Oreochromis niloticus: one gene and its partner. The protein of the gene in region 1 interacts with the protein of each later gene in a pairwise test. Links are inferred from orthologs where the notes say so. Each region holds a gene or a part of one and is shown on either strand. Other genes may lie near its edges.

Region 1 (11,737 bases):
TTAACTGCACACCCTGAGATTAACACTCCTCCACGTCCCTACACTTGTCAGAAATGATATATTCATATTTGTTTTTAAACTGTCAAGTTGATGTTTGTGATATTATGAGGGAAAACAATCAGCGCCCACTAAATAATAACATAGATTAACAATATAATAATCTGAAGTTCTACAAATGTTGGGAACGTACTGGTTATTCTTGTTGGGAGGCAATTCAGCATCTCACACATACAGCCGGAGTACTGGAGACCCCTGCTAGAGGCTTGTCTGTCAGTTTTAACAGATCTGAACCATAATTAACTTAATGCTTGTCCAATACCCCACCTCTCCACCAGGTTTCATGAATTTTAGTGAAGTAGTTTATATGTATATTTGCCAGATCAACAAACAAATGGCACTGAGAATGAAGCCAAACAGACACACAAATACGCACACAGTCCACATCACCAATACATTTTTTTTATTCAACCCTTTTTATTGCACTAACACACTGTTGTCTTACTGGCATCAACTCTCACTATATTATCTTACCCAATTTGATTTCCCAGTGGATTTAATCAGGCAAGGGAGAGAATCATAAATGAACTTCAAACCATGAACTTTACCTTACAAAATAAAGTGCATTAAAATAAAAAGAAGTGCTGTCACAAAAGCTGTATTGTGTAAAAATGATTTTCAGCTCTTGACCAGTCTTCACTTGGATCACTAATAGGACAACAATGATGGGGTCAGGGGATCTGATCAAAGTGATTCCCCTGTGGGTGTGGATTCCTTAAGGGTACCTTACCAAATCTTCATGCTTTCCTGATAATCACCAATAAGAGCACAGCAGATAAATCCCATGTTATTTGCAACAAATTTTCAGTTGCCAGGAGTACTGTGTTTTCCTGTAAGACTGAAGTTCCTTAAAGGAGTGCAGAGGCACAACTCCAGCATAATGAACTCAGCGGACACATGATACAACACTGAAATCTGATCACCTGCAGCCATGCACCGGGAGCCAGAGATACTCATACTAGTGCAGGGCAAAATTTCTGATTGCCTCTCTTGTTCTGTTACAGTCTCTGTCAAACTAATGCTTCATTAACAGGTTACTCTGGAAAAGACAACACAAATGGGAAAAGGGTTTCACACTTTAATATCGATCCCATATCTAAATACACTCTTAACTGCTTTACACAATTTTGCTTAAAAATCAGGTTTCACATTTTTTTCATTTCAGCATCCCATAGCTGGTTTTTACTTCATTTACAAGCTGCTAAGCTTAATTTGACAGTGTAAAGTAACCTGAGCAGTAAGTAAAGCCTTTGAATTCCCAATGCAGTTTAAGCAAGAGAAATGCTAATTTCTTCCATCTCACTAAAGACCACAGAGGGACTAATAGTATTGATGAACACCACACAAAGGGTGTGCAGTCCCGTTATAATAATTACATAACCGATCACAGGCTGTTAAGAGATACCCAGGCTCTTTAGATTAAGCATGATACAGCAACTGACAGTGCGCTGCTATGTCAGATACTACCCGCAAGTGACTCCTGGAGAAAGTGAGGGAAGGGGGGAAAGAAGGAAAATACAGAGTGATGCAAGCACAGGGACATTCAGCTTTTCAGTATTCACATCGTTTACAGCTGCAAATTATACCAGCAAAACCAGTGAGACACCAGAACACTGTCCACTGCAGAAAATATGTACAAGCAAGCTCTTTGATGTGTTATATCCAGTGCATCTAATTCTTTACTTTCATTATTCAAAAACTTTTTTAAAAAAATCATCGTGTTAATAGGAAGGACGTGCAGTGAATAGGGCAGGCTAGTTGTGCACCATGACATGCTTGTAACGCTGGCTATGCATCATGTTCAGGACAAATGACAGAGAGTAAGATTTTAAATGATCCACACACTGTGCACTGAAACATGCACAACACAAAAACGTGAAGGGAAACACATACACACACGCTCAGACACACAAATAAAAAGAAAAGCCTCTATCCTTTTCCTCTGAACTTGATGATTCACGGAAGCAGTGACCTGGGGTTTGGGACACTCTCTGCTTTTGATTTGGACTTGAGAAGCCCCCTCCAAGCCCCGAGCCATAAGACTCCATTTACCACTGCTGTAGAGCTGAGGAGCACTTAGCTTAATGTACGGGACAGTAGAATGGCACACACAAACACACACACACACACACACACACACACACACACACACACACACACACACACACACACACACACATGCAGATCCTCATGGATTGCAGTATCTTTTATTACAGAAAGCATGATAAAGAGGAGGTTTTCCCTTAGCTTTGGACACTTACATGTACAAACAATAGATGTGAATTTAATGCAATACCATGCTACATGTAAATACAGCCTACTATTCGTGGTGGTTATTAGAATAGTGCCAGTGTTGGACTTTGTCTTGCCTTTGCCTGGCCTGTATGCAGAGTCTATAGGCAAGGTAAGGGATTTTTGTACCACTCTGCTTGTAGTCTGATTTCCACTGACCAATCACGTTTGATCAGGCTTTCGTTGCAGGAAGGTAAACAGTGTGTGTGGACAACAATAGAGGGCTTACATTTGCTGAAATGAGTGTGTCAAACGCTGACATTTTATTAGGTTTCATAAATAATCTGCATTAACAATGACTACCAATTGAAACAGGAGGCCGCCCCAAAAACATGGTCATTGCCATACCTAGCTTGACTAAGCAATGGGTTCTTGACTGGCCACACTGATATTGACAAATTTTTGGTAAAAACACCCAACACTAAGTTATGAACTTCATCCATCCATTCATTTTCTGCTTGCCCAATTCAGGAACATGAGGGGGGCTGGAGCCTATCCCAGCTGTTACTGGGTAAGAGCCGGGTGACTTAGACAGGTCTATCCATCACAGGACTAACACAAGGAGGCAGAAACGCATTCATACTCATGTTCATAGCTAGAGTCAATTTAGAACCACCAATTAGCAAGCATGTTCTTGGACTGTGGGAGGAAGCTGGACTACCTGGAGAGAAGTCACACAAAGAAGGGAAGGTAAAACAACAGGGTCATTGTTTAGTGACTACTTAACAAGGACACACAGGCTGACTCCACCTCCTCAGCTGTAATGCTGCTCTGCTACATGTGCTGCAGACCGAGATGCTGAGACGGTTTGAAAAACTATGGGATGACACTACTGTGAAATTACGTACTCATTAGTTCTGTTAAAAAAATTTACTCAGCTAAATCTATGAGAGGACAGCATCAAAAAGCTACTTCCAGCTGCTCCCTTGCCACAAGGGGTCACTCTGTAAGTTGAATTTTACACTAGATGTTCTTCCTAACTCAGGCTCAATGGGAATTTGTAGAATTGAACCAGCAACTTTTTATTTGCCAAGCAAGATGAGCCAGTTATATTGTCCTATATATAAGTCTGATATATGGATGTTGTACCTGCTGCATCAGCTTTCCTTGATAAATTACACTGGAACAACTGTCTGCTGCTTATCTTCATCCAGATTATAACAGATGTGGACACTGATGGTAATTGCTTATGTCTTGTGGAGATAGAAGCCCTGGTTAACTGATTTAGCCTCCATCTTTTTCCGTCCACCTACACTGCTCATCTACATTCATACTGCTGACCACTTTATACTAGATTCAGCTTTAGTCATACTGCAGGGATACGTTTCGAATGTGATATAAGAAAATCTGCTGCCTTGTTGTGTCTCATCTGTGTGCTGGTATGTGTTTAGAAGTGCCGGTGAATTTGCTACCTAGAGAGCAAAACAAAAAGACACGGATGTCATTGATAGAGAGATGTGATGGATTAGAGTGCCCCAAGGGGGAAGTCCTGGTCCATCAACATGTAATGAAAACTAATTTGAAAACAGCAGGCAGCGATGAATAACTCTAAGATGAGTTCTGGTAACATTGTCTTCAGTGAGAGGTCATTATTGTCTCATATAAGAGAAAAATTGGTTGATAACATTACGATTGATGATAGAACATTAGTTGTTGTCTTCAGGAGTTATGGCTGTCTGTAAGTACGTCTGACTGAAAATCGATCAAGGGCAGAAACAATTTTACACCAAGTTTGTAATCCACCGTTCCACCATCAGATGCAACAGATGAAATGATGCATGCTGGACAAAAGAAAGGGGCTGTAATGCCATACATTTCTGCAATCTTTTAAATTTAAATTCTCTGGGGGAAAAAAATAAAAGTTGAGCAAGGAAAGGCTTGGTAACAAGGTAAACATGCAAAAGCTCAAAACATTATTTTCTCATTTCTTTTCTGTCTACCTTTGCAAGGTCCTGGATAGTCTAACGTAGCTGAGCTAAAATACCAGAGGGAAGAAAGTCAAATGGATTGTGATTATTGTCCTGGAACAGATTGAACAGGCTGTGGGAGAAGAATGTGAGCTGAATCCCATTTCAACACACAAGCCCAGGTGCATTTCTTTTACTGAGAGGAAGGTGAAATTCACAAAAGGGATCTAAAGAAAGCATTGAGGTGGTAATACCGGGTGTAATCTAACCATTTATCAACAGTAGTTTATCACCTTTTTTTCTGCAGCAAAAGAAAAACATTTTGCAAAGAATGGAGATGGTTTCAAATAATTTGCCTACATTTTAACTGTTGCTCTGTGTTAGTTAGATTAATTTAGATGTCAGACTTACACTTAACTTTATTTAATCTTATGCAAGATGCAATTTACGGGCATTCAAGGCAAAGAAATCGTGTAGCAGACAAGAAGAGCCTGGGCAGTATTAAACACATCTACAGTTGTCTGCCATGTGTTGTATTGTGTATTGCAAAAAGATGGCACAAGGGTCTAAAACTCCTTGCTTTTTTTCCTGTCTTTCTTTTTTTTTGCTTTTTATATGCAAATCCTGTCATGGTCTAGTCTTAGCCAGTCCTTGTCATTTTAACTTTCCTACAGAGAAAGACAAGTGCAGAAAATTAGGAATATACCACAGCATGACAGAAAACCAGAGAAGCAAAACAACACCATGCTGGAATGACAAAAAAAAAATCACCTCAAAAGAGAAACTGCGATGAATGCATCACTGAAACCTTTCAAAACATGTGAATCATCTGCTCCGAAATGGAAATAAGTAATCTGTGGGGAGTTACAGCTTCCTGTCATTCAACAGGAAACCTCCACTCCCCGCCGAGCAGCTAGGATTATCCTCTGCGCCTCACAGTTCTGGTTCAAATTCACAGCCTGCGTCAGCTGTCAAGACATGTAATAAAATGTGTGTGTCTGTGTGTGCTGAGGGTTGCCTGTGCCAGGTCTTGCTTTCAGTAAGTACAAAATATTTGATTTGAAAATGTATTACATCCAAAACGGTGCGAGTCCTCTCAGTCTGTTGTTTTAGGGGAAGATTGCTGTGCTGTTACCAATGTCACTACTTCTTTTCTTTTTTTTCTTTTTTTTAATGTCAGCCTGCAGGTCTTATAACAATGCTGACTGGACACCTTCGGACAGTGAAGTACTCTCAGCCAGCTGGTGAGGAGGCTCTAGTCCAACAGTGCTGCTTTCAGCTCTGCCATGGCTGAGAGGTACCATATGTCTCCTCTCTCAGGAGTCCGTCCCAGGCTACTATTGCCAAGCCGTTAAGGCCTATCCCACATATGTGCCATAATACTGTTAAGTACTAATAAGTCCTCAAGTGGTTAAGGCACTGCTGCAATTCAGATTGTGAACCCTTGTCTGTATCCACATTTGGGCTCATGAACAATAGAGAAATGACCACAGGGAGGTTCACTGGCTGGTGGTATTCCCCAAGGACCTACACCTTCCTAAGACAGGTGAGTTTACTTCTTCATGAAAATGAACTTAATCATATAATCTTAGATAACATCAGACTGCATTTGAAACACAATATGGAAACCATGTTGCTCTTTAAATGAGCCAATCATGTAACTTTAGCAAAGTAAGCAAACCCGAAACTTTCTAGGGGCAATTAAAGTAGGTCTTTCAAGTATTAATTTTCAACCTGTTATAAAAGAAGAGGTCCTATTTGCCTCTATCACCATGATTCCTTTAGTTTAAAATCCTGATACTTACAGCACTGTGACACTGGAGGCTAAAATAAGTGTGAAGTAAATAAAAAATATTTTCCAAAATCACAGTAAAAGGTTTTGCACACCTTTCATATTTAAAACACAAGAGTAGCAGCTTCGTTCCGCTTATCGTTGCCATGGGAATAGTTTAACCAATCAGAGGCGAGATAGTAGGGCCAGTTAGAAACAGTAGCCAATCAGAGAGTCTGTTGTTTAAGAGCCAGGCTGTTTGAAACGGCAAAGCAAGCACCTTTCAACTGACGACTTGTGAAACGGGCAAGCGTGGTACTTTTTATGGTTATATAAAATAGTTACGAGTTTCCGAAAAGTGGTGCTACTTACAGAGGTAGATATACTCGCTTCAAGTAGTTTAGTTTTTTTTTTATGTTCAGCTGTATTTATTGTGTTCACTTCTCCATTTCTGTTTTAGCTTTAGCTCTGATTTATTTAGCTAACAATGTTTGTTTAACTCGATCAATTAATGCGCTTGTAAATGAGTAAAATATAGAAAAGTGTAAGATTTTTTTAAGCGTACAGATAAGCATATTCGTGGATTTCTTTGTGCATGAGGATGTTTTCTGTTTACTCTGTGTGTACCTTCATTAGTTTGTAGTGTAGAAACTAGCGTTTGTGCTAAAGAAAGTTAAACAGAAGGCTTCAGCTGTGGCTTGAAATAAGTATTAAAGTTTCTTTTATAAATCAAACGCACCCAAACATGTTTTATGTCCATGTACGGTTTGCAAAACATGAGTAGGTAGGTGGGAAGCAAAAGAGTACCAACGACTATCAATAGCTGCCAAAGATTACGGTGGTGGCCATAGCTGAAATTAAAATCAATACTATATAGTAACATACCAAAGTAGGTCCCGTCCCTATGGCCAGGTATTGATCGCTCATGCTGTGTTATTAAACTAGCATAATGACACTTTATATCTCTGTATTTAGATGTCCTCAGACGAAGAGGAACCAACTAGTCCTGTTCTCCCCAAAGACTCGGACCGGGGCAGCTCCGTGTCCTCTGAGCTTCAGGTGAACATGTGCTTTTATTTACACTCATAATTCTATGGAACCATGTTTCCACCACTGGAAAACAAAAATAGCCAGGCATAGATAACTCAAAGTTTCTAGTTATCTCAAGTTTTTTGAGTTACTGTCTTGAAATTTCACTTTACTTCTCAGTAAGTGGAAATTTCGTGATAAACAACTCTAAATTTTGAGTTGGTAAGTAGGAATTGTAAGATAGTAAATTTTGATTTAAGGACAGCAAAAAAAAAAAAAATGGTGAGGAAACAAGCTTCCATACATTTCAGATCAGCAGCATTATGTTACACATCATTGTGACGTTGGTTAAAGCTACTGGACAGTCAATACGTTTTACTAGACCCAATTTCAGTCTGTCCAAATCCTTTAATTGGATGTAAAAATTAAATCAATCTATTATGTATTAAAAGGAAATGCACATCTATTTTGTTTTTGTGTTAAATGATAAAAGGACAGATTGTCTAGAAGCTGCTCTGAAAAAGTTTGGATATTAAATTCAACATTTTACACAGTTTGAATTAGTCTGCCAACCAAAATTGTGTGTGATATCAGGTTGCTTGAACTGGAACCTTTTTAAGTGTGAAAGCAGTTAAGTCCAAAGGAGTCCAAGTCCATGGACTCTGTTAGGTTGAGCAAAGCTTTACATAACATGGTCTTAGCATCACTAGGTGTCAAAATTGAAGAGTTACACTAAAATGTTGTAACCAAAATAAACAGACTTGAAACAATACACAGAAAAATACAAACTGTAACGTGCTTCAATTGATATTTGACCACCTTGTTCTTTGTTATTGTTTATCAATTAACAGGATGAGTATGAGGAGCTCCTCCGTTATGCTGTTATCACCCCTAAATTTGACACGCTTGGCGTTCAGTTGAAGCAGCGGAGCACCTCGCATCTGTCTGCAGCGGGTGGAAATAAAGATGGCACAAAGTTTCAACATGTACCAGGTATGTTGGCTTCCTCCTGTATATGAAGAACACTTTCATACACATGTGTGTGTAGGTTCACAGTCACCTAGGTCATGTTAGTCTAGAGAGCTTAGAAAAAGAGGCAACAAAACTTCTTTAAGGTCGTAAAGATGTTTCCCTTCTGATCCAAGAGCAAAGGTTTTGGAAAAAACTGGTTTATCCCAGGGACAGAACTTTTGAGACTGAGGGGTAACACTGGTGGCTGCCCGTTTTTTGTTTGTTTGTTTGTTTGTTTGTTTGTTTTTTAAGAATTGTAGAAGCCTCTTGGGAGAGAGATGAAACATCCTCACATACTTGAAGAAGTACACTTGCTTTGTTTTTTTTTCTTCAAGCTCTCTAGACTTTCAGACACACAGTTCACCAGGACTGGCTGACAGAAACTGAATGTGAGCCCTTCCAGACACTGTCTGCATCAAATGATCGTCTGTCAGAAAGGATTTGGCATCAAAAATATGGAGAAAATGTGGTGTGTGTGTGTGTGTGTGTGTGTGTATATTTTCATCTTTTAAACCAGTGTAAAAGGCTAGATATCAGTCTGTCACATTGTACCCCCTATCTCTTTCCCCTGCAATACCCACATCTTAAACACTCCATCAGTTTCCTCCCCTGTTGCGACTCTCATCTGAGGTTTAGTGCTTTAACTGTCATGGAGTAGTGCACGAGGATGTAGAAAGCAGACGGGCCAATTGGTAATGATCTCCTGGCACTCTGCCCGTACTGCTCTTTAGAGTGCAGGCTTTCTCTTCTCTCTCCCTGCAGAATTTAATTAAGATATTGACATAAATGCTTTCTTGGACAAGGAGCCACACTCATCTTATTTACCACTCTCACCTTCACATTTTCTGCTCTTAAGCTGTTTTTTGTTTTCTGACTTTTTTGGATTTAAATTTTTTTAATCAACCATTTTAATCTATCTTTGGCCACATGTATCTATTCCTCTGCCTGCTCACTGTAACTCCTGCATCTTCTTCCAGATTCTGCCATTGAAGCTAAGGATGGGAGGCACTCTAGCAGGAGCCTGAGATCGTCACAGGCCTCCCCCTTGATTGTTGAGCCACACTCGACACACTCAAGAGCCTCTCATGGTAAAATAATTGTAAAATTTCAGAGAAACAAAATGCTTATTATGTATTATGTGTAACTGTCACAATACTGTTTCATATTCTCAGCCATAGTCTGCCTGTCTGTCTGCATTTGTGCTCCCCCCCCCCTCCAGCTGAGAAGATGGCAGGTCATTCGTCTAGCAGGGTGTCACTGCTCTCAGACAATCCCTCAGAGAGGTTACCTGTGGCATCTGAGAGGTCGAGGCCAGATACCCCAGAACCCTTTGAGTTTGTTGTGACAGAGATGTTTATTTCAGAGGAGAATATAAACAAGATGGAGAACATTCTGGACACGTGGAGCAACAACCTGAAGGTTAGTCTGCTTCCACACAGTGTACAGCTGTCCTTCACAGCCACTCGGTTTCTCCTGTGGGCTTTTACATAGCTGTAAACAGCATTTATGCACAGACAGAGAAAATTTAATTGTGCTGTTTCTGGCATTTTTGATCATAATGATATTTTTCACACTCTTCTTTCTCTGCCATTGTCATTAGAAAGTTATACTGTGCCTGTGGTCAGATTAGAGATTATATAGAGGGAATGTATCTGAGCCTCAGGATGACTTTTTGAAAAGGATGACACCTCGCTGCTCTTCATGGAACCGTTGACCTTTTAACTGTGTTTCCTGGAGACATTATTCTAAAGGAAATGGGTGTCTCCATGTGGGTGTCCATCCTGCCCTTTTCCTCTGATTTTGTACAGCTCATTCATGGAGAGCAGATGACAGCCAATCACCTGCTAAGCTGTGCAGAGCTTAATCTAGGAAAAAAGCAGTACCAGCCAGAATGAGATGAGATGTGGGTTAAATAGTACACTCGTGTGTTGAGGGAGGGGTTTGAAAGTTCTTCTAAACCTGGAACTACACATCAGAACTGTAAAATAAGACATCTCTGGTGGAAAACTCTTACACTCTGTGCAGTAGCATAAATCTGGCTTAAGCTTGATGGACTTCAGATGTTTCAAGAACTGAGTCCAGCAAAAGAAAACTTAGAGATGAATTCTCAAAGATTTCTGTGTTTGCAGTTGCATCTGTCTGGCACACCTGTTCATGTAATTTAAAAATGACTACAGATATGTGTACAGATGCCCATGTTTGCTAAAGTAGAGTAATGAACACATTGTGACAGCCCTAACTTCTATTCCCTAATTAGTCAAATGTGCTGACGGAGCTACGGAAGTGGAAGTTGGCCTTCATTGAGCAACACAAGCTGGAGATGATGAAGGAGAGGGAGAGGCATGCAGCCCAGACAGCTGGCCTGAAGTCAGAGCTAGATAGCCTTAAACAGCTGTTACAAACCTACGAAACCTCCAACCAAAGGAAAGATGAGGTGACTACATGTCTATTTATTTGCTTTATCTAGTAAATCATTTAGATGTTTGTTATCTGGTAATTTGCAGAATAATATGTCATTTATTTAATCACCTGTTTTTTTTGGCGAGGGGGGGTGTCTTGTTTTTCGTCAATAAAACACGAGAAAATTGTAAAAACACCCATTACAAAATCATGGACTCCAAGCTGACATCAACTAATGTCTCACCCTTGTCTCCACAAAGAATCAGAATCAGAAAGGGTTTTATTGCCAAATGTTGAGCAGGTTTACACATTAGGAAATTGCTGCGGTACTTAGTGCAAACATACTGTCATATAACGCTTAAATAGACATAAAAATAAGAATTAAAAGTGCTAAGTAGATAGATATATACATGAGTGCAGGTGGTGATCAGTGCCAAACATGGAATGATGCAGTGAACACAGTGTAGGGTCATGTGTTAGTGGTGGGAACAGTCATATGGTTATTGTTCATGAGTCCAACAGCAGAGGGGAAGAAACTGTTCTTATGGCGAGAGGTTCTGGTGCGAATGGACCGGAGCCTCCTGCCTGAGGGGAGCAGGTCAAACAGACTGTGTCCAGGGTGAGAAGGGTCAGCTGTGATCCGAGCTGCACGCCCCAGTGTCCTGGAGGCGTACAGGTCCTGCAGAGATGGGAGTCTGCAGCCAATCACCTTCTCAGCAGAGCGCACAACACGCTGCAGTCTCTGTTTGTCCCTGATAGTGGCTCCAGCGTACCACACGGTGATGGAGGAGGTGAGGATGGACTCGATGATTGCAGTGTAGAATTGCATCATCGTCCGTGTTGGCAGGTTGAATTTCTTCAGCTGCCTCAGGAAGTACATCCTCTGCTGGGCTTTCTTTATGACGGAGGTGATGGTGGGCTCCCACTTCAGGTCCTGGGTGATGGTGGTACCCAGGAAGCGGAATGAGTCCACAGAGGTGATGAGGGTGTCAGTCAGGATGATGGGGGGGAGTGGGGCTGTGTGCTTCCTGAAGTCCACAATAATCTCTACTGTTTTCTGGGCATTCAGCACCAAGTTGTTGTGGCTGCACCAGGACACCAGATGTTAAACCTCCCTCCTGTAGGCAGACTCATAGGGTGCAAAAATATTATATTTAGTGCAGTGAAAGACATAAAAAATCAAATGTTTTTACATTTAAGGTCCTCATATCGGTGTTTTGATTCTTTACTTTCTGTAGGCCCCTATATACGTCTTTATTAATTAATTAAT
Region 2 (11,648 bases), on another chromosome or scaffold:
ACTTTAACATGATTACTGAATTTAGTACAGCAGTGTGTTTCATTACATTATCATTATTGCTTTACTTGAAAATGTAATGTGATTACAGTATACTGAACACTAACCTCCATAAAGATGAAACTGCTGTGAACCTTTACTGCGTGCATGTGTCAGTGCAACAACATCACTGCTTGTTAATACAGAATCCTATAGATTTCTATTCAAATGAGTGCCATATTTTCTGTTAGTCCCTTTGTACTTCCATACTTGCTATTTTAAGTGCTTGTGTATTGACATTAGTTGTATGAAGTACACTGCAAGTATACTGCTGGCGTGCTTAATAAATATACAAATAAGACTGAACTGAACTTGATTTAATATTTTTTTTAACAGTGAAACATCCATAGCTGACCGCAGTAGACCTTACTAATTTACAGTCAACCCAAAGAGAGCGAATAGACAGAAAGGGCAAAGCTGTCTACATTTTGTATTCCAGTTTGTGATTAACTACTCCAAAAATTCCTCCAAAATACATATATGTCGAGGTGAATTCTGCTAAATCTTACACTGAGGAGTTCAGCGTTAAAACCATCAACAGAAAGGAATAGTTTAATAGGGCGATAAAGTCTCACCACTTTGCAGCTACATTAAAATGATGCTATGTACTTTGTTTTTCCCCCCTGAAAAATGGTACTGTCATTGCTTTTTATTTTATTTTATTTTTTATTTTGTTATTAACCGTATATAGGCATCTATCTTGTATTGTTGTATTATTCAACCTATTAATGTGAAATACAACTTCAAACTATTTTTTTCTGTGATCTGGTAATGTTTTTAATTGTTTTTTTTTTTTTCATTTACACAATCCAGTTAATAGTCACCAGCAGTGTGGTGAGCAAAGGCTTCACTACATCAAACACTTTGAATTGCTTAAACTTGAATTTTATCAAAAGTTAAAGTTTGACTGCTATAAGTAATTATAAATATTACTAAATTTATAAAGGTCTGCTGAAAAAGTAATACAGTACACTGTACACTGAAATAGCCCAGGGTTGTGTAAATTCAAGCCTCAGACTCAGTTATCTGAGTATCAACAAAGCTCCTTTAACCAGAGTTAAGCTTCTGAAAAATGTGAATCAAACTCTGTCCGAGTAGAAACAAGCACTCCTTTCTGAGTCCAGCTCTCTAACCTGCCACTGATGTCTCCATTAGCCTACCTCAGTCAAAGTCAGACACACACACCTACATACATGCACAGGCTGACCGTTTGCTGGTCTGTTTACATAGCATGTGCTTCAAGCTCACGCTCACATGTGGCTTCTTGAGAAAGCCACCTCTGTGCAGCCTGCTGATCCTGAATGTGCTTGTTTTATTAGACCTAAAGAACTGGGTTCAAGCATGGAGAGGGGGTATGAAATACAAGCTTGGTCTGAGGCATGGAGGTCTGACACACAAATAGCTACAGTCAAATGCAGTACAGCGCTACTGGTTATTTTTTTTACTGGGCTTCCTCCTCCTGACAAAACTATAACACATCACTGATTGTACTCACCTTCATTTGACAAGTCCAAGTCTTGAGATTTAGACTCTCTTTTGTGAAGACCCATCGAGATAACTAGTGCAACCACCGGGAAAACATCCAGAGTTAACATACTAGAACCCACCATAGGTTCAGTAACAAGCAACAATCCTAACCACTAATTAAATGGGGATTAATACTCCCAGTTGCTAGTTTCAAGTCTTCTTCAAAATGCATGGCCCTTATGTAAAACATGTGTCCATTAAGAGTAGAATGAATGACTAGAGGTGTGCTTTAAGGCATGTCTGTCATGATCCTTGCTTTTGTACCCACTGTTTTCTGTTTCATATATTCCGTTTGAATTTGTTGTAGTTTTCAGTTTAAAAGTGACCTTTGCTTAGGTTGGGTTATGTTTATTTTTTTCTGTCAAGTTTATGTGTGTAGTCTCAGGCTTTTAGCTTCCTGTTTTATTTTGATAGTCTTTCGTCCTGTTAGCGTTATACTCAGTTTTGCTTCCCCTGTTGTTAGTCAGATTAACGACAGACAATAATTACAGGAGATAATTACCTCCTGTGTATTTTTATGTCTTCTGTCTCCCTCTGTTCCTTGTCATGTTGTTCCCATTTGCTGTGTGTTTCCATGTGTTCAGTGCTTTCTATCAATTTTTCCTCATTCCCAATTTCTCATATTTGGAATTTTGTACTTTTGTATTTCTTTTTAGTCTAGCAGTTACAGCAAATAAATCTGACTCTCTTAGTTACTGCTTTGCTTCTGAGTGCTGTGTTTGCATCCTACCTCTGCTTGCCACTGCCTGCTATGATGACAGTGACTGACGAGGTGCTACTTTGTTAGCATGTTTTCACATTACAAACTCAAGACCTTAGCTTACAACATCACAGGAAGGAGCCCAAGAATTTTCCATAAATAAAACTGTTAGATCCAACCCTTGTCTGTAAGGTCAAGTTAAAAAAACAAACAAAAGAGGCAGCTAATCTAAAAATGCCACGCTTCAGTTTTCAGAAGTACATAAACCAGTGAACGATGCCAATGACCCATCCTTTGGCCAATTTCTCTCATATGCTGTAGGTATTTGTTTTTCCAGACATTACCAAGAGGAGAAGATTTATGGAGGACATGCAGAGGAGGATATTGGAATAGTCATGGCAAGGCAAAATTTTCCAGAATTCTCGGGTAAACAGCCCGGGATTTTTTTCCCTCCAAATACTATTAAAAGCAGTAAAATAAGAACAACTACATGTCCTTTGTGTTTGTAGCTGATCATGTGTTCATGCGTTTTGACTTTTAAGACTGTAATTCATTTGGTCTGCTTAGTCCATCTGTTATGTTTGTGAAACAATATTTTGCAGCAACAGCCCAATTGAAAGCCTAACAGTGAACTCTGGGTTTTCCACTGTAATGCTGAAACTATTTCTAGATTTGAATATCATTTTTGAAAGCTGCAGTGTCTACAAATTAAAGACCAAGCCACAAATTTCTATGACGATGAACATAAATCTCATAAAACAATAAACCTTCAGAGTTCTCTTAAAATGACAATACATAACGACAATCTATTTTCAATTATCTGAATCAAACACATCTTTAAACTCAACAAATAATTACTGGTCATTTAATCTCACCATGTTCAAACCGATGGAACATCTGTGCAGGAACAGTCGCACCCATCTCTTCTTCAGTATGATGCTTTACTGCACTCGAGGGAGCCCATTCACCGCAGCAGGGTGTAGTTTGGTTATGAGCCGTTTGTCATTTCTGTCATTTTGCTCGTGCAAAAGGGAATGAAGCCTCTCTAGGTAGATTTACAAGAACCGTTTACGCCTGGTTGGACATCAGGACATTATCAAGTTAAGAAGAGACTTTGAGGAACAGAGATCCACTTTCTTTCCTGGGTGAGTGAGTGCTTTCCTTCCAGCTTCTATCTCAGCATACACATGTGAAACAGGAGACTCACTTGGAGATAACCAGAGACCCAGTGGCACCTACTTCACACAGTGCTGTCACTGCCGGTGAGAACTATCTGTAGGAAGTTCATGACAGTGGTAAAGAAAGTCTTTGAAGAGACAACATTCATATGGACTGGAAAGATAAGCAAATCTAGAAACATTTTATCTGAAATGTCTGCATTCAGAAGAATTGTCAATGAATGAACCCCAAGCACTCTATACAATAAACGACATTCACCTACTCATACAGCTTTTATTATATGTGCTTAAGTATTTAAACACCTTGCTTCATCTATTGCAAATTTAGAACCAGCAGATAATGGAGGATGCATGTTTTTGGAACTATCTGGCTGTGACTAAAATATCTGAAACACTTGTGATGAGATAAATGACAGAGATCATCTCACAAAAGCTCCCTATCAAGAGTTTTTCCTAATGTTTGATCATTTTACTGATTATACATACTTTCCAGACTTATCAGTCAGGAGAGTGTGTGTCTTGTTTGTTTTGCTTTTTAAGTTTAGAAACTTGAAACTAGTTTGTTAGAGTTAGTCAATAAACACTATGTTTTTAGGTTAATGTTCTGAGAACTACTTGGTTAGGTTTAGGGAAAGATAGTGTTTTGGTTTCATGGACGTTCCCTGCATGCCAAAAGATCATACGCTCCTCACAGCAATCCCATAACTCAGCGTGTCAGAGATCACTGCCAAAAGACACCTTGCACAGAAATGAGCAGTGTCTTTGGCAGAAAAGCATGAATTAACATCCTGGAAAACATGATAGGCGGATACTTATTACCTTTCGCGCAGATAGTATCTCTTAGAGGGACTGTGTCGATTACATTTTTCAAGTTGGGTTGTATGGGGTAATTTTGTATGGAGTAAACTCTGTGTTTAGTTCATTGGCCTCCCCATTCATTAGGTCTCAGTCTCACAGAACACCTTTGGGAAGCGCTTAAAGATCTGCTTAACTGATGTGATGCAATGACATGCTAGCATATGTTAGCAGATTATCAAAGAAGGTTCACCTTTAATACAGAACTGAGTCTTTCTGAAAGTAAGGAGCCATTCCTAATATAGTGGACACTGTGTGTAATATATTTGAGCAGTGCAAAATAACTGATGGGAAGCATAGCAAGCATTGGTATGTTTTGTTTCATAGGTGTTTCTCTATTGCTGAAGACAGAGGTGGCTCACATAAGCAGCACAAGAAGCCTCTGTCTGCTGTTCCACAGCTGACTGTTTAAGTTGAACTCAGTTCTACAAGAAACAGACTCAGTGGATGTCCCCAGGTGTGTGTCTCAATTCAGCTCTAACACTCTTAATGAGATGAATTTGTTGCCGTTATACACAGTGTTCCCATGTTTGGCTGACAAAAATAAATAAATAAATAAAGCCTAGTTCAATCTCAGTGAAGTTATTAAAAAGGTAGACCAGTTTTCTAATTTGGTTTGGTTTAATGTATGTGAAATATTAACTGCTTGCCTCAAAACAAATATGCAAATACTTTTTGCTAATGCAAGCTTTTATGGCATTTTATAGAAATTTTGGTAAGGAAAGCAAATCTTGAACCCACAGTGAAAATGCAGGCTACAACATGATGGAGGAAATAAGCATGAGATATCTTCAAGGTGTAAGTAATGTTCATTTGGAGGTTAATCACAGCATAATCCCTCTGCTGCCCTAACAAAAGGCTCAGTGAAGAGAGAGGCTTTCTCATCATTATTGCAATACTCAGTTTTAGACAGCAGATGTCTTTATCTAATTTAGAGAAAAGACTGCAGTTTTTATCATAAGTGGTATACACTGTACACTGCTAAATAGAGATATAATAGAGCAATGCAGCTAATGTCTTGTAAGAGAAACTGTAGGTTTTGGCACTTAAAGCGCTGCCTTCATTTTTCATCCCTTGAGGTAATTAATACCTCAGTTATACAGTAATGATGGAGTACTAGGGGGTGGCTGTGGCTCAGGCAGAAGAGGAGATTGAGTGCCAAGTTGGAGGTTTGAGTCCCACCTCTATATAGTTATGAAGTACTTAGAGCAGCATAAAGTATTGCATGCATGTGTGTGCCAGTGGGTATATGTGGCTTTTATAAAAGAAAGCTGTAAGTGTTAGAATTGAAAGTGTAGGTGATAGAAAACAGAGAAGCTCATTTGGTTAGCAGGAGAAAGATGCCCATTCAGGAAGTGCTGGGGATGCACCTGCTACTGATATCAAACTCATGTCTGCACCTCATCAACAGGTTCACACTATGATATCTGCAGACAAATAAAGATTCAGATTGAAGATCGTTAAAGTGTATGTATAAAATACATACACTTGAAGTGATCTTCTCAAACAATAATCCATACTTTGCATTTCAGAGAGAAACAGATTTTTCATTGCACAGCATTTATCTTATATGAAGGTAATTGTGTACAAAACACCTTAAAATATGTTAATTTAAAAAATTAATTGTTACAGATTTAAAAGACTCCTGCAGGGTTTCTGTTTGAAGTTGAGAGTTCTTGTTAAAAAGTCAATAAAATCTGAAAAGATTACAAAGAGACACAAATGACTAAAACAGACACAACAAACAAATGAAAAAACAACTACTGATTGCTGAAGAAATAAATAAAATGAAAATGTATTTTTTTATTCAGGTGGAGGAGGTCTAGAGTAGGAAGACCAGAGACATAAAATACACATATGTGAACACGTGAAAAAATTTTCATGGTTCTAGATTTTCAAATATGAACATTTTTCATGGTATTCCATTTTCTTTTTGCATTGACTGCAAAGGTCCAGCATCATTTTCTAAATGCTTAGAAAAAAAATCAATAAACTTACCAAGAAAATATCAGCACAACAATATTAAAAATACTTTATCCTACATAGGATATTCTTTTTGTTCAGCAGTTGAAATACTACTACTACTACTACTGCTGCTAAAATAACAATAATAATAATAATAATAATAATAATAATAATAATAATAATGTCAAGTAAATTTTAAACATTAATTTAAATAGTAATTAGTCGCAGCCTCGTATAAAATAGGTTTTAAACATAGCTGGCACACAATAAAATGCGCTAAAAAATACTCACAGGATCTTGTTCTATGGTGAATACTGTTCAGAATTATACTTAAATATTTACTACATTTTAGGGACCTTTACGTGTTATAATCCTCGTAGTTTAAATGATTTGTATTGATTTGCAATACACGTGTGCACATCTACTGTATTGTTATCCAGTACAGCACACGTGTAGCTGGTGGCGATACTGCTCCGATCCGCTGCGATTGCACTAGAGGAAATATTAAAAAAAAAAAAAAAAAAAAAAAAGCAGCAGAAGAAGAAGAACACTAGCCAATCAGAAAGCAATTTGCTGCTGCCTGATGACCAGATACCAATAGGAAATGTGAATGTGAGCGCGGATAAACGGAATTGTTGTGTGTCGGCCTCGGTGAGATTGTATTTGGTGACAGTAATAAGAGTAATTGTTTCAGGGCCGTTAAATCCCCTCACAATGAGCCTGTCTCTGAGGTAAGCCGGTTTGTCGCAGTTATTCCAACATCCCTCATACCAGCGCACAGAGCTAGTCGCTAGCTCTTTCACATAAGAGGCGCTAGCATGTTAACTTTGCTGTGTTTGTTCGGGAGGGATATTGCATAGGAATTAGCTGGAGCTACTAATCAGTGTAGAGTCGACGTTAGCTGCTTACTGTTTTTTTTTTTTGTTTGTTTTTCTGAATGTGACTTGGACGACTACAATGCACTGTACTATAGGCCACATTTAGTTGCAAAACTACTGTTCAGATGCCACCCCTGTGCATCGTTTGTCTTTCATCCAATCCACTACAGACGTACACGTTCAGTAAGCATCGACCGCATAGCCACAGCAGAAAGTCATCAGTACCAGTACAAAGGAGCGTTTTTTCTCTTTTTTTTCTTAAACAAATGAGCATTCTTGACCAACATTGTTGCTGATTACATTTTATTCAGTGCACATACACTTTTGTGTATGTGTAGTGGAATTGTAAGGGGGAAACCTTATATTAAATATTATACATGGAGAATCTTGTGTTGAATTGGCACAGAAAGGGGGAAAAGGACCAAAAACAGAGAAAATCTAACCGAGGAAAGTAGCTGTATCAGCTGTCAGCCAAACACTTCACAGTGTTATGTGTATCTGACAATTAATGTTATAATGATACTACAGTCAATTTGTTTTGTTATGTTATTTTGTAATGTTATTGATATTTAGATAAACAGGTGTCAGAGTATTACTCTATCATGTGGTTAAGTTGCTGATAAATTAGATTTTACTGAATAAGTATTTGGTCGTAGATACTTCGTTACATTGCTAACGATATATGTACTGCACTCTGCTTGTGTTGCAAACACAGAGTGTAGATACTTGTAAACTTCAGTCTGTAAATAGTTACAGATTTTAAGTTCGTTTTCTCAGTTGTTAGGGTAAAACTGATCACAAGGCTGTGTACGTTGTCTAAACACTGAGTGCACTGCCTGCGTCTTTGTCTATTGTGTGTTTTGTCAGCCCTTTGCTACCTTCTTCTGTAAAGCTGTGGTGTTCTGCCATATGCTGTACAACATACTCTGTATTGAAGCTTTAATTTGGGGTAACAGCGGATAAATATGTCACTTAAGTTAAAGAAAAAAGTTTGCAATATGATTGCAGCTGAAACCTGTGTACATTTGTGTAACATATGCTGCATCTGTCTTTCTCCAGAACGGAGCTCATGGCAGACAAAACAAAGCGTAAGAAGAGGAGAGAACTCACTGAGGATCAGAAACATGAAATCAAAGAAGCATTTGAGTTGTTTGACACAGACAAGGACAAAGAAATTGACTACCACGAGCTGAAGGTGAGCACTGGATGATGAGAGGAAAACAAGTTTGACAGCCAAAAATAGTCCAGTGAAGCGGTATTTAATCTGCTGTGTATAGTATGTTAATATGTGCCATATGTCTGTCATAATGAACTCAAAAAGCAGTTTTTCCTCACATGTTTACATCTGCTGTGCTGCTGTAGGAATACAGAAACATCTCACTGTCACAAACTGTCAACAGGTGGCAATGCGTGCACTCGGCTTTGAAGTGAAGAAAGTGGATGTTCTCAAGATCCTTAAGGATTATGACAGAGAGGGAAATGGGAAAATAACATTTGAGGACTTCAGTGAAGTTGGTAAGTTTGCCTTCCCTGCATGTGCCCCTGTGCAGACAGGGACCAAGAGGAAGAAAATCTCTGACATCTTTAACTGAAGTGTTTCAGTAACTCTGATGCATGTTATGTATGGTTCTGCAGTGACTGATCGCATCCTAGAGCGAGACCCGAAAGAGGAGATCATGAAAGCCTTTAAGCTGTTTGATGATGACGAATCAGGAAAGATCAGTTTGAGGAACCTGAGACGTGTGGCTCGGGAACTTGGGGAGAATATCAGCGATGAAGAGCTCCGCAGCATGATCGAGGAGTTCGATACTGACGGAGATGGTGAAAGTAAGTCAGCACTTGCTCTTTTCTTCGACATTGACAATTATTGCTATACATTTAATCCCTAGAAGGGAAACGCGTTCAGTTTGTTTAAGTGAGCAGGAGTGGATGAACAGGACTTTTGTTTGTTTTGGTGTACGTACAAAAGAGGCCTATGAACTAGGGCTGCCACAAACGATTATTTTGATAGTCGATTAGTCACCGATTATTTTTGCGATTAGTCGACTAATCAGATCATGCATCCGTTGGACGTACAACGCACTAGCATGCATCTGCTCTTATATAACTATTATTAGCTTACAGCTTTAAGTGTTTAAGGTATGTACTAACTAAAAATAAAGATAAGATGATAGTTTATTAAATTTTAGTGAAATTTGCAGATTGTTTCAGTGAAGTTTAATAAACTCAGCCGTCTGCTCCTTGCTATCTAAAATATAACAGGACACCGGAGTATATTCTCGACCATCTCACACTTCTGATAATCAGTTGTCTGCTTGACGTTTATTCAGCTGTGTAAAAACTATAACTTTAATCTCAGCCAAACTGATTTACTCAGGAACAAATAAAATACTAAAAGAAGCCAAACAATAACATTTTTAAGTTTTCTAAGTGACTTATATATCGTTTTTAACCTGAGTAGCGAAAGACGGTGGTGATGTTTGAAAACGATTTGCCGGGAATCTGGTGCTCTCACTGGCTTCAATGAGCCTTGAATCCCGGCTAGCTATCGAGCTGGTGGGTAACAGACGTCTCCGAAAACGTCGGAGCGCTTTTGAAAATATGTGGTGTCTTGATAAACTGAGCAGATATTTGAGGTTTACACAGCTACATTCTCGCCTGAAAATATGTTAAATGTTTATTTTGTGACCCAGAAAGAATAATAAGAGTAATATTAAAACTAACTAGCGGCCGCCATTGTTGGAAACTGAGCAGGGCCGCACTATGAATTCTGGGACACAGCTTCTTCTTCGGAGTTTAACGGCAGCTGGCATCCTTCTTCATGCAGTGCTGCCATCTTGTGTTTCAGTCCGTTATTGCACTCTTAAATCCTACTACTTATTCCTGTGTCTTTTGGGATCTTACAAAGCTTCAAACGACGCGTCAACTATTAAATTAGTCGTCGACGATTTTGATAGGCGACGTAATCGTGACTCGTCAACTAATCGTGGCAGCCCTACTATGAACACCATTTATAAGGTGCTCGTATGGCGACACGACGTCAGGATACAGCAGTCAGACCTTGGATTGGAGTCACAGAAACGTGTCTGTTGTTTCCATTGCTGAGCTTGAAGGACCAATTTAAATGACAAGGGATTTCTAAAAATCACCCTGCAGTTCTTCAGCTGAGACACCTGAGTTAGAAAACACAAACACTGCAGTTGTCTTTTACTCGCGAGGGCAGTCATAGAGCGCTCATACTCACAGACTCGCGCTGTATCACTGTCTGCGTTCTTTATTTATACAAGCTTATGTGTGTACAAAGATAACAAAGTTATTCTAAGAACTCAGAGCTGAGGTTCCCCTTTTCTAAGTCTGTATGTTCCAGAAAAGGGGAAGCTGCTAATTGGTAAATAAGTTTATCATCACAAAAGTTATTAGGTACAAAGTCACGTAGACATGTGGTTTACTTAGTGATCCATAAAAAGAGCACATTTCATGTAGCTGATCACACTATGTACAATTTTCTTTTAACATATTTATCGTCAAGTAGTTTGGGAAAAATACATATCTTAATAGTTTTTTATCTTTACCGTGTACGACTCTGGCTACTGGAGCTCCTCTGAAAAAGAAAGCCTCAAATCTAAAAAAATTGTTTGTGGTTCTGTTAAGCACTATTGAGTCAATCATTCTTTAAACTTACTTAATAATGACTTCATGAGATTTTAAGTTAAAGATAGCGCTCTTTCTTTTCTCTTCCCTGTGAAACACAGCAGCTGGACCTGTAGCTAGCAACACACTGTGAGACAAACTGCACATAGTTTGTGTGCTTGTTGGACTGATAGAAACCTTGCATTTGAAATTACCTGACACAAATAGCTCGAACCAAATACATTAAAGCAAAAGTAATGAACCTGTTTTGAGTAAAAGTAAAAAGAAGTTGGAAAGATAAATACTGAAGTAGAGCAAAGATACCTGAAAATTGTACTTAAGCACAGTAATAAAGTATTTTTTACTTTGTTACTACTTCCTACCTTTGGAAGCTAGGTTGCACAGAGAGATGGGGGTGCTTGATTTAAATGCCTGCATGTCAGGAAAATGTGAAGAAACAAGCAAAAATGTAAATTAAGCAGCATCTGGCTGCATTTCAGTGATTTTGTGGACTGCAAAGCTTAGTGCAGAATTGATTAAATGGCTAAAGTGATACCCTTTCCATTTTCATTGTAGGGGGACAAAAGGTTTCAAACTGAATGGCAGAGATATAGAAATGTCTGCATGTTCCACTTTTTTTTTTTTTAAACCACTACAGTTTAAAACAAACAAACAAAAAACCATTTGGGCAATCAGCTACCAGAACCTTTTCTGTAATTTTATTTCTTACAATTTAAGTCCAAAGACTCTGTTGACAGATTTCTTTCTTTGTCACAGCAGCTGTTTCTTTGTCATGTAAAAGAACATAAATTATGTAACATGTTTACACTGTCAGAAAGAGGAGTTTCACTGCTCCAGCCCACTTAAGGTCAAAGTGGG

What was found.
Region 2: the proteins of poc5 (region 1) and cetn3 interact in binary tests that used the Homo sapiens proteins (3 or more experiments, as listed by UniProt). The link is inferred for Oreochromis niloticus from reciprocal best matches to the Homo sapiens genes POC5 and CETN3.

Annotation. Positions count from the first base shown.
Region 1 is NC_031977.2:16,910,418-16,922,154, forward strand, and holds the start of poc5 (centrosomal protein POC5), read left to right. Parts: upstream 1-6,232; 5' UTR 6,233-6,342; exon of another isoform or gene 6,343-6,403; intron 6,404-7,002; coding exon 7,003-7,086; intron 7,087-7,907; coding exon 7,908-8,049; intron 8,050-9,044; coding exon 9,045-9,155; intron 9,156-9,286; coding exon 9,287-9,486; intron 9,487-10,324; coding exon 10,325-10,501; intron 10,502-11,737. UniProt on the Homo sapiens protein: Essential for the assembly of the distal half of centrioles, required for centriole elongation. Acts as a negative regulator of centriole elongation.
Region 2 is NC_031972.2:8,994,686-9,006,333, forward strand, and holds the start of cetn3 (centrin-3), read left to right. Parts: upstream 1-6,817; 5' UTR 6,818-6,975; coding exon 6,976-6,992; intron 6,993-8,198; coding exon 8,199-8,334; intron 8,335-8,539; coding exon 8,540-8,654; intron 8,655-8,774; coding exon 8,775-8,966; intron 8,967-11,648. UniProt on the Homo sapiens protein: Plays a fundamental role in microtubule-organizing center structure and function. As a component of the TREX-2 complex, involved in the export of mRNAs to the cytoplasm through the nuclear pores.